Linked DNA regions of Mus musculus. The protein of the gene in region 1 purifies or fractionates together with the protein of each later gene. This does not show direct contact. Links are inferred from orthologs where the notes say so. Each region holds a gene or a part of one and is shown in the gene's direction. Other genes may lie near its edges.

Region 1 (3,746 bases):
AGAAGTGAATAGAGACAGAGAAAGAGAAGGGACGAGAAGGGGGGGTGGGAGAGAGAAAGAGAGAGAGGAGAAAAGATGGGGGGAGGGAGAAGGAGAAAAAGAAGAAAAGAAGCTGGCCAGGAACCTGTGAAGAGAGGGAGAAGGGAGAGAGGGAGAAAAGGGACAGAGAGAGAAAAGAGGGCAGAGTCAGAGAGAGAGGGAGAGGCCAAACAGTCCTTTTTATAGCAAGCCAGGCCTACCTGGCTGTTGCTAGGTAACTGTTGGGCGGAGCATAGAAGGAATGCCAACAACCTGTGCTACAAGAGATCCTGGTCAATAAATAAATCCGCGTTAGTGTTACTGAAAATTAATGTGGAAAATTTCACTGAAGTTAATAAGCCTTAATAAGGAGTTTGACATAGAAAGATAGAGAGTTGCAATAGAGATCTTTGTTAAATAAGATTTTACAAAACTATATTTTTGGAGTAATCTTAAACTTAGAGCAAAATTAAGCATAAGGCACATTTTCTTTTATCACTGGGGCAGTCGCTATTGGGGAGCTTGGTATGTTAATCTATTTGCTTATAATAACCATTTACAGCTGGGCGGTGGTGGCACACGCCTTTAATCCCAGCACTTGGGAGGCAGAGGCAGGTGGATTTCTGAGTTCGAGGCCAGCCTGGTATACAGAGTGAGTTTCAGGACAGCCAGGCCTATACAGAGAAACCCTGTCTCGAAAAAACAAAAAGCAAAAACAAAACAAAAAACATTTACTATGTGTATGTGTGCTAAAACTTCATGCTATCAACCTCAAAATCCATCCCAGATAGCTGTTGGAACAGTCATATTAAAGACCGTCTCTGCAACAAAGCTTTCGGGAACTCTTAAGATAGTATTGGCACTTCTATAGAAGAGGATGAGAAACAATAAATAGGACAACAGCAAAACTGATATGCGTACTCCCCACAGTCATTTTCCTAAAGTCCAACGGAGTCGCCTGGGCTAGCTTGGACAGCACACAAGTGAGCACTGCACGCCATGCCTACCTAAGGCAGGTGGCAGCAATGCGACTTGTGCGCAGGCATAGAGCCTGACCTCGCGAGGGGTGGGCGGTGCTGCCAGCGGCAGCCTCGCTCTGGCCCCGCCCCCGCCCCACCCCCGCCGAACTTGGGATCGCGGGATCGCCCAGGAAACGCATTCTACGGGAACCCGCGGCGCCAATGGGAAGAGAGCGAGTGCCACGAACTGGCCAATGAGGAGCGAGCGGCCCGGGGTTTAAACCTAAGCCCGGCAGACTCCTCCCGGCGTGCTGCGGAGGAACGGCTGTTAGTGTTTAGCTGTGGATAGCCAGAGGTTAGGGTGTCTTCTCGAATCGGGGAACCTCTGATTTTGGAGGAGCCATGGCGCTCAGGGTCACTAGGGTGAGTCGGGCCAGGCGCTGCGGTGATCGCGGCGGGAGAAGACCGCGGGATCCCGGAGCGGGAGGGGGATCCGGGAGGGCTCCGGCGAGGCCGGGGAGCTGAGGACCCACCTTATGGAGGGTGAAAAAGACCTCTGGACCTATCTGGGCTGCAGGACTTGTGGGGAGTGGGTGCTGTGCTCTTAATGGTGAAGGCCCAGGGTGAATTCTTCGCCTTCCCGGAGAGCTGTCTACGACGGAGGCTTTTATGGCATCCTTTCCGATGTAAATTCACCATGTTTAGGGTGGCTTAGGACTTAAGGGGAAACTGGATTAAAGGTGAAAGATTTGGGTGGAAACTTGCTTGTCACGGCTGGAGGCTAGATCCTACCACCCTTGCTTTCCTTAGTTAGGTCCCGCCTTAATTAACCCGTGACTTCCTCGGGGCTGCCTGCTTGCTGCCGTGGACCCTTTTCAAGTTGTTCTTTTACTTCTTTCAGAACACGAAAATTAACGCAGAAAATAAGGCCAAGGTCAGTATGGCAGGCGCCAAGCGTGTGCCTGTGACAGTTACTGCTGCTTCCAAGCCCGGGCTGAGACCGAGAACTGCTCTTGGAGACATTGGTAATAAAGTCAGCGAAGAGCTACAGGCAAGAGTGCCTCTGAAAAGGGTAACTATCGCCCTGAAAAGGGTACCGATCTCCCTAGCCCAATTAACCTGAAAAGGCCCATCTTCTAGCTGTCACCCTTGGGAAAACATTCTGTTCTCTCCCTTTCATCCACAGGAAGCAAAAACGCTAGGTACTGGAAAAGGTACTGTTAAAGCCCTACCAAAACCTGTAGAGAAGGTGCCTGTGTGTGAACCAGAGGTGGAACTTGCTGAGCCTGAGCCTGAACCTGAACTTGAACATGTTAGAGAAGAGAAGCTTTCTCCTGAACCTATTTTGGTAAACTTGCATTTTTTAAAAGTTTGTTTCTTCTCTCTGACTTCATTTCACGTTGATGCACATGACAGCATTTAAATATATTACTTATTATTGAGTGGCTAGCAAAAACATTTTACATGCATTAACGACTCTGGGGTGAGTATTAGCACCCTGCGTCAAATGGTGGCAGATAAATATGGTGGGGCTTTTTGTTTTATGTAGACACCAGAGTCTCACTCACTATGTACTCCTGGCTGGCCTGGGACACGGATGTGGGCATAAATCATTTTCTTTTCTGTGTCTCTGTAGCTCATGCTGTCCTTGAACTTGAGATTTCCACCTCCAATGCTGGGATGGTATATTCAAAAACTATTTTTAAAAAGATTTCAGGCAGAGAAATGAGATTAATTAATAAAATAAGGTGCTTGGTAGAATCCCAGTATTCTGTCTGGCCAGAGGCAGGTGGGGCTCTGAGTCTCTGTAACAAGGTCCAGTCTAGCCAGAGCTACATATAGTGAAACTCCGTATTTGAAAACAAAAAAAGATGATAATGATGGAATGATGGGTTAGCATTTAAGCCTAAAAATGAAGTTTGCCTGAGTTTGTAGCCTGTTAGATTGTGTTCAGCATATTAGGAGGCCCTGGGTTCAGTCCTTGAGTATTAAAATGCAAAAGAGAAAAATGCAACAACAAAAAAAGCATACACGTCGAAGGCACCAGATTTTACTACTAGGTGTGATGATTGGTGCATGTTTGTGATTTGAGCACTTCTGCTAAGGCAGGAAGATTGCAAGTTTAAGGCTAGCCTGGGCTCTCTGTAATCAGGGGCTTGGATACACCTGAATAAAGATTGCTGGCTTAGCATTCTTTTGAATCAAGTTCACGTGGGGCTGAGCTGATGGATAAATGACTTTATTATCTGTTCCTTTGACTTGCTTTACCTACTAGTATTGAGAGTACTTTTTTGTGTGTCTGTGCCCAATTGTGTGTATGTTAGGCCTGAAGAGACAGAGTTCTTTGGAGCTGGAGCCGGCGTTGCAGGCGTTTGTGAGCCACCCAGTGTGGTCGCTAGGATCTGAATTCTGTCCCTCCTGGAGATCGAGGGCTCTTTAATTGCTGAGCCGTCTCTCCAGCTCCCATCTTCTCTTTTGTATTTTGTGTGTGAGGACACAGTTAGAGAGGTTGGAAGACAACTTTTGAGTCAGTTCTTCCACCTTGCGGGTTCTAGGGATTGAACTCAGTTGTTAGGCTTGGCAACAGGCACCCTTACCAGGCTTGCCAGCCTAGTTTTTCCTACTTTTAAACTGCCTTAATCTAAATCGGAGTTTCTTTTTTTATGAGACCAGATCTTGCTGCCTTGTAGTTTGCTATGGAGACCAGGCTGGCTTCATCTCACAGAGATCTGCCTCCCAGGGGCTGGGATTAAAGGCCTGGATCACCAT
Region 2 (3,746 bases), on another chromosome or scaffold:
ATAAGAACAAAATTCAGAAAGGCGAAGACCCTGCCTCCTGTCTCATAGCATACCACACTCACTACATCTTAGGCCTTTGTATTCAGCAGGCCTCCTCCCGGTCAAAGCAGCTCTCCCTTCTCTATTTACTTCAGGGTTTCCCTCTCTTCTGTGTAATGGGTAACAGATCTTACACCGCGTTCTCAGCTCCTTTAAAAAAAAAAAAAGGAAAGAAAGAAAGAACGGCTTTACTGTCCTAAGTCAAGATCTCATTAAAATAAACAAAGTTATCACAGGAGGCTGCGGGAGGGCGAGCCAGTGACCCCGGCTACTCCGAAGGCGGAAACACGAGGATCCAGAATTCTACACAACCTTGTGTCAGACAAAACCCACCGGCCTCTAACTTGTTCCTCTGTAGCTAGAATTCTACCGATCTGTTCATCTCATTCTGTGCTCCCTCGCCATCAGACGCTGAGGCCAGGGGGAGGACGCCCGGGTCCGCCGCTGTATCCTCCGCTCTTATCGTAAAGTACTTCGAGGGAATAAACGATCGTCCGGACACCTCGGGGGCTGGGGCCCGGGAGGAGGCGGCCACAGACCGGAGCGGGGCGGAGCCACGTAACCGCAAGTCTAGGGCCAGAAACCCAAGCCGGACCCCACGGAGCCGCGTGGACTGAGCGGGGCGGGGGACCCAGGGGTAACCGAGTGGGTAGCCAGCCCGGGGAAGTGGCGTACGCTGTCCCGGAAGGAAGTCGACCACTGAGGCAGGGCGGTCCGGGGCGGGGCGGAGCAGGCTGCTGGCCGCCGTCCGCGCGTCCCCGCGTCCCTCCCGCCGCCCCTCGAGCCCCGCCGGGGCCGCCTTACCCGCCCTCCCGGCCGCGGCCGCCGCTCCTCAGGACACCGAGCGTTCGGGGCCGGAACCCGGAGACAAGCCGGTGCCGATTGGCGACGCTCCGTCACGTGACCGCAACGCTCCGCCGGCGCCAATTTCAAACAGCGGAACAACTGAAAGCGGCGCTGCGGGACCCACCCCCGGCCCGGGCTCCCCCGTCACCCCGCCCCGGGCTCCCACCCCGGCCGTCCCGCCGGGACCCGCCGCCCGGGCCCGGCTCGGCCCCGCGTGGAGCAGACGCGGCCTGTGAGGTGAGTGGGGTGCGGCCGGGTCCAGGGAGGGCTCGGAGTCGGCACTGCCGGGGCTGTGGGGCGCGAGGGGGTGTTGGGCACCGCCGGGAAGAAGGTCTGAGCCTCCGGCCTCGGCCTTGCCGCCGCCGTGTTCTCCGAGCATCCCCGGACCCTGGGAACAGGCCTGCCCTCGGAGTCTGCATTTGCAGTCAACCCTGCCTCCGCCTCCACCGCTGCAGGGCGGGATCCTGGCTGAGTGTTGGTTGCAAGGTTCCCTGTTGAGTGTGGAGAATAATGGGGTCGTGGGGTGGCTCTGCAAGTCTCCTTCCGCTAGAAGATATTGGGAGTGTTAGGGAAAGGCTGGTCAAAGAGAGCCCCTGTGGTGGTGGGGGGGGGTGTCTAACATCTGATTGGGGTGGGGTGCAATGGGAAGGAAAACGAAAACTGAGATTTGAAGGTCGAGAGAACGGAGTATGAAGAGAGCTGCAGGGTGGAAGGGACCTGAGAACTCTTAAGCAGCTGGCAAACGTCAAAAGAGTGTAATCCCTTCTTTGGCAGGTGTCCTAAAGCGACAGCTGCTTTCTCTGTTTCTCACAGGATTGCAAAAGTGACAGGATTTAACTTAATGATAAATTATTCTATCTACCTATAAAAAAATCCATAGGAATGCTTTTTCTAAAGACTTCCTTCCTTAGCGTTTCAAAACCACTTTAGCATAGCCAGGCATAGTGGTGAGTGACTGTAATCTCAGCAACTAGAAAATTAGAGGCCAGAGGCTCAGCAGTTCAAAGCCAGCCTGGACTACAGGCGATTCTGTCTCAAATATAAAAGCCACCTTAAGCTTATTAATGATGGCACATCTTAGTATGAAGGAGATCAGTATTACAATCTTACTTTTGAAGCAGAAGATCAAGGTATATAGAGTATTATACTCACAAAACTAAAATATTGCCAGGCAGTGGTGGCGCATGCCTTTAATCCCAGCACTTGGGAGGCAGAGGCAGGCAGATTTCTGAGTTGCAGACCAACCAGGGCTACACAGAGAAACCCTGTCTCAAAAACAAAACAAAACAAAACAAAAAACAAAAAAATCCCACTAAAATATAGTTACTTTCAGGTACCAAAATATCATTGTGCAAATGCTTTGCAAATTTTGAAAGAAGAAAAACACACTTTAAAAAAAAAATTAATGTAATGGGGCTGGGGAGATGGCTCAGTGGTTAATGGAAGCTCTTGAAAATCTTTTTTTTTTTTTCCCAATTCAAAAGGATTGGGGTTTTTATTGTAGAACACTTACAAGCATTCACAAGGCCCCGGGTTCAATCCCTACCACCACATAAACCTGGTATTGTAGCTGCACCTGTGATTCTAACAGGTGGAGGCAGGAGAATCAGAAGTTTAAGGTCCCCTGCATTATTTGAGACTGATGGAAAAGGGCCATAGGGTATAGCTCAGGAGTAGAGTAGAGTCCTTGCCTACTGTATGTGTAGCCCTGAGTTCAGTCACAGTACTGAAAACTTTGGAATAAATGAGACTGCACAGTCTACACACATTGCTGTGAGCCATCAGTACGGAAGTCCCCCCCTTTTGTCTGGGATCTTGCAGACTAGTGGTTGATCTCACCAGTGTTGTGGCAATAGGGCCTCCTGCCTCTGCCTCTGTATGCACTGACCCTGTGACCTGCAAAGATGTAAACTGGCCAAGGCGTTGTCACAGAAAGGACTGCAGAATCAAAAGTATTGTCAGGACTCCTAATAGCCTCCTGTCCACCCGACCCATCGTCTCTCATCCCTCTCCCCAGTCATTGCAAGTGACTTGCCTTCTAGTACACAATGGCAGGCATTTCCACATTCTTGTAGATGACTCATGTATTCCTTTGGCCAAACGTTTAAAAAGATGTTAAAGATGTTTTTACATTTTTACTGGGGGCAGGATTGACCCACATGCCACAGTGTATATGTGGAAGTTGGAGGGAACCGGTCGGGGGCTGATTCTCTCTTCCCACTATTGTGGTCCTGGGGATTGAATTCAGGTGGCCGGGCTTAGCAGCTGATGGTTTCAGTCTCTGAGCCATCTTGCCAGCACCCCCCCCCCCACACACACACATCTTTGTCTTGTTTGTTTGCCTTTTCATAGTACAGGGAACTGAACCTAGGGCCTTGCTAGGCAAGCACTCTATCGCTGGCCAAACGTTCTTAAGCTTCCAGGGGACCACTGACTCCAGTCCAGTCCCAGGTTCCCATCTTGAAGTGTTTGCTGCAACTGGTAGCTTTCCTTGGTCAGTAATAGGGCTTTATTTATTTTGTATGTCTGTTTTGAGACAGGGTCTCATGTGGTCCAGGCTGACCTTGAAGTCACTGTCTGGCTAAGGGTGACCTTGAACCTTGTAGGTGCTGGGAATACAAGTGTGTATCAAACCTAGCTTCTGCCCTTATTGTCTGAGGGTTTGACCAAGGTCCGGGCAGCATTCCCCTGGGCCTCTGAGCTTCTGCTTTTGGCCATTCATGCAGTTTGTCTCAGCCCAGCGGATCTGACAGGCAGCTTCTCCTTGCCCTCCTCAGGGTCAAAGCTTGCGATTCTCGATGGAGAGCGAAAGCACAGCCTCACGATGAGAACCAGCCCCCGCCGGCCACTGATTCTCAAAA
Region 3 (3,746 bases), on another chromosome or scaffold:
TTCTTTCTTTCTTTCTTTCTTTCTTTTGATTTTTCCTGAGACAGGGCTTCTCTGTGTAGCCCTGGCTGTCCTGGAACTCAGAAATCCCTACGCTCAGTATTTTGAACCCTGTTTCAAAAAACAAACAAAACAAAAGACTGTGAACGTTCACAATGAATTCTTCCCTTTACTCTTCACTCAACTCTATAGCCTTTCTTATACAACCCATGTAAGATGTAGGCTGGAATCCAAACTTGGGAGGGAGGAGAACCTAGGAGAACCCGGAGGTTGTCCCTGCACCCTTTTCAGTGTCCCTCTCCACAAAGTCAGAGTTTTAAAGAATCCCAAAGACCCTGTGTGGTGGTGTACACCTTCAACCCCAGCATTAGGCAGGTGGATCTCTCTTAGAGGCCAGCCTGGTCTATTTAGCAAGTTCCAGGACAGCTAGGATCACGTAGTGAGAACCAGTCTCAAAAAACAAAAATAAAAACAAAAAAATACATCAAAGGCTATTACACCTTTTCTTTCCTAGTAACGCAAAGCAAGCCATGTGGGTTTCTTATTTTAATTCTCTTGAAATTTAAAATCCTGCCTGAGCTCAGGGAATAAAGGCAAGAAAGACTTAGTGATTGACCACCCAACTGCGAAATGACTGTAATTGACTGAGGTTGAAGAAGGAGACTGTGTCCCAGAGTCTTTCCGGTCCAGAGTTGTACCCGCCCCTCCAGGAACACGTGACAGACAGCGCGGCAGATAAACTACAACTCCCAGAGCGCCACGCGGCCGGCCTGCGTTACGCTTTCTCGCTGATTGGTCACTAGGGATATTTGAAAGGAGGTGCTGGCGCGGAAAACGAAGCGTGCCCACCCGGTGCTTGGTGGAGCTCGGGCTGGAGGACGCTGCTAGGCCGGTGAGGAACGGCAGCTTCGAGGGAATTAAGGCACGGAGGGTCTGGTGAGCGCGCGCTCAAGCCGCGGTAAGTGACATTCCCATTGCTGACCTGGGAAGAAACGGGGCGTTTCTGCGGAGGCTCGGCGGCCCCCGAAAGGGTGTGCTCGGCGCCCAGGACCCTGTGGAGACCCCTGCGGTGGCCTGGTGGGACACTGAGGACAAGGAGCGTCCTGGAGGAAGGAACAGTGGACTTGTCAGTTTGTAACGGGAGCCCAGTTTATATCGGCCTCTCCCCGCATAGGATTTCTGGTGGGATTCTTTGCCTGCTTCATCCTTTGAATCCTCCTACAACTTTCAATCCCTTCTTTCCTCCAGTTATTTCCATTACAACCCTTCGCAGGCTTCTACAAACCATTTCGTTGTATCTAGACTTTTGCCATGAGGAACTTCAAAGGAGTCAACTTCGCCACTCTGCTCTGCAGCAAGGAGGAGACCCAGCAGCTGCTGCCTGACTTGAAGGTGGGACCCTTTATGGCTCAGGACACACCTAGTTTCTGAGATTATCTGTGTTTTTTTCCTTTTCCTTTTTTCTTTTTTTCCGAGACAGAGTTTCTCTGTATAGCTCTGGCTGTCCTGGAACTTACTTTGTAGTCCAGGCTGGCCTCGAACTCAGAAATCCACCTGTCTCTGCCTCCCTAGCGCTGGGATTAAAGGCTTGCGCCACCACGCCCGGCTTCCTTTTCCTTTTTATTTATTGTTTTTATTTTTATTTAAAAAATTATTTTTCCGCCGGGCAATGGTGGCACATGTCTTTAATCCCAGCACTTGAGAGGCACAGGCAGGTGAATTTCTGAGTTCGAAGCCAGCCTGGTCTATAGAGTGAGTTCCAGGACAGCCAGGGCTACACAGAGAAACCCTGTCTTTGAAAAAAAAAATTTTTTTTTCCCCTAGGGCTACTAATGTGATCATCTCCTAAGGACACTCTGGTTTATGTTCTCCGTTTGGGAGAGTTATACATCGGTTTTTGTTTACGTTTTATCATTCTCCTTATAGTAAATTTTACATTCTAATTTTATTTATTTATTTATTCATTTATTTATTATATGTAAGTACACTGTAGCTGTCTTTAGACACTCCAGAAGAGGGCATCAAATTTCGTTAGGGATGGTTGTGAAGCCACCATGTAGTTGCTGGGATTTGAACTCAGGACCTTTGGAAGAGCAGTTGGCGCTCTTAACCACTGAGTCATCTCACCAGCCCTCTAATTTTTAATTAAAAAAAATTTTTTTTTTCCATACTGGGGATTGAACTCAGGATCTCATGCATTCAGGAAAATATTTCACCACGGAGCTATATCTCTATATCTGTTTTCACTTTTAAAAATAACATATCATCTATGTCTTCATATGTTATATACAAGCATATATAATATATAGTATGAAATATGTAAGCTATATATTATCTAAATATTATATATATGTTTAAAGATTTCTGAGACAGGGTCTCTCTACATAGCCCCTGGCTGTCCTGTAAGTCACTATGTAGATGAGGCTGGCCTCGCTCGAACTCAGAAATCCACCTGCCTCTGCCTCTCAAGTGCTGGGATTAAAGGCCTGAGCCACCACTGCCCGGCCTGTTTTCACTTTTTTATTTTGAGACAGTGCTCATTCGCTCAAGCCCAGGAAGCTCTTGAACTTTTCTTCTGTCTTTTTGCCTTCACACAGGCCTGTGTCACCAAGCCTGGCTTGTGTTTTGCCGTAACTTGGAGAGAGATACATGAGAACCTGTGGGGCCCTGTTTCTGCCCCCCCCCCCCTTTCTTTTCTGCTCACGCGGCTTGATTCTTTCTCCTAGGAGTTCCTGTCCAGATCCCGGACTGATTTCCCCAGCAGCCGAACAGATGCCGAAAGAAGACAAATTTGCGATACCATCCTGAGGGCTTGCACCCAGCAGTTGACTGCCAAGCTCGATTGCCCTGGGCACCTGAGGAGTATTTTGGACCTGGCAGAGCTGGCCTGTGATGGCTATTTGTTGTCTACTCCACAGCGCCCTCCCCTCTACCTGGAACGCATTCTCTTCATCCTACTTCGCAATGGTTCCACTCAGGGAAGCCCAGACACTGTGCTGCGCCTTGCCCAGCCTCTCCATGCCTGCTTGGTTCAGAACTCTGGAGAGGCTGCCCCTCAGGACTATGAGGCCGTGACCCGGGGCAGCTTCTCTCTGTTTTGGAAGGGAGCAGAGGCACTGTTGGAGCGGCGAGCTGCGTTCTCAACTCGGCTGAATGCCTTGAGCTTCTTGGTGCTCTTGGAGGATGGCAGTGTCCCCTGTGAGGTCCCTCACTTTGCTTCTCCAACCGCCTGTCGTTTAGTTGCCGCCTATCAGCTGTACGATGCTACAGGACAAGGTCTAGATGAAGCTGATGCCGACTTCCTGTATGAAGTGCTTTCTAGGCACCTGATCAGAGTCTTAGTAGGTGAGGGTGGTAGCTCTCCCGGTCCTCTCTCGCCTCAGAGGGCCCTCTGCCTCTTGGAAATCACCCTGGAACACTGCCGTCGGCTCTGCTGGAACCACCACCACCGCCAGGCTGCCAGAGCAGTGGAGAGGGCTCGTAATCACCTAGAGAAGACCAGTGTAGCTCCTAGCCTCCAGTTATGCCAGATGGGGGTTGAGCTGTTGGAAGCTGTAGAAGAAAGACCAGGGGCAGTGGCCCAGCTTCTGAGGAAGGCAGCAGCCGTTCTTATCAACAGTATCGAGGCGCCGTCGCCCCCGCTCCGGGCATTGTACGACAGCTGCCAGTTCTTCCTTTCAGGCCTGGAGAGAGGCATCAGGAGGCACTGTGGACTTGATGCCATATTGAGTCTCTTTGCTTTTCTTGGG

Evidence for each region.
Region 2: the proteins of Ccnb1 (region 1) and Foxm1 purify together in Homo sapiens (affinity purification with western blotting; 4 studies listed by BioGRID, with this or other methods). This does not show direct contact. The link is inferred for Mus musculus from reciprocal best matches to the Homo sapiens genes CCNB1 and FOXM1.
Region 3: the proteins of Ccnb1 (region 1) and Espl1 purify together in Homo sapiens (affinity purification with western blotting; 5 studies listed by BioGRID and IntAct, with this or other methods). This does not show direct contact. The link is inferred for Mus musculus from reciprocal best matches to the Homo sapiens genes CCNB1 and ESPL1.

The regions. Positions count from the first base shown.
Region 1 is NC_000079.6:100,784,036-100,787,781, reverse strand, and holds the start of Ccnb1 (G2/mitotic-specific cyclin-B1), read left to right. Parts: upstream 1-1,295; 5' UTR 1,296-1,379; coding exon 1,380-1,400; intron 1,401-1,878; coding exon 1,879-2,049; intron 2,050-2,163; coding exon 2,164-2,325; intron 2,326-3,746. UniProt on the Homo sapiens protein: Essential for the control of the cell cycle at the G2/M (mitosis) transition.
Region 2 is NC_000072.6:128,361,996-128,365,741, forward strand, and holds the start of Foxm1 (forkhead box protein M1), read left to right. Parts: upstream 1-998; 5' UTR 999-1,122; intron 1,123-3,662; 5' UTR 3,663-3,709; coding exon 3,710-3,746. UniProt on the Homo sapiens protein: Transcription factor regulating the expression of cell cycle genes essential for DNA replication and mitosis. Plays a role in the control of cell proliferation. Also plays a role in DNA break repair, participating in the DNA damage checkpoint response.
Region 3 is NC_000081.6:102,295,461-102,299,206, forward strand, and holds the start of Espl1 (separin), read left to right. Parts: upstream 1-832; 5' UTR 833-955; exon of another isoform or gene 956-1,299; 5' UTR 1,300-1,308; coding exon 1,309-1,389; intron 1,390-2,723; coding exon 2,724-3,746. UniProt on the Homo sapiens protein: Caspase-like protease, which plays a central role in the chromosome segregation by cleaving the SCC1/RAD21 subunit of the cohesin complex at the onset of anaphase. During most of the cell cycle, it is inactivated by different mechanisms.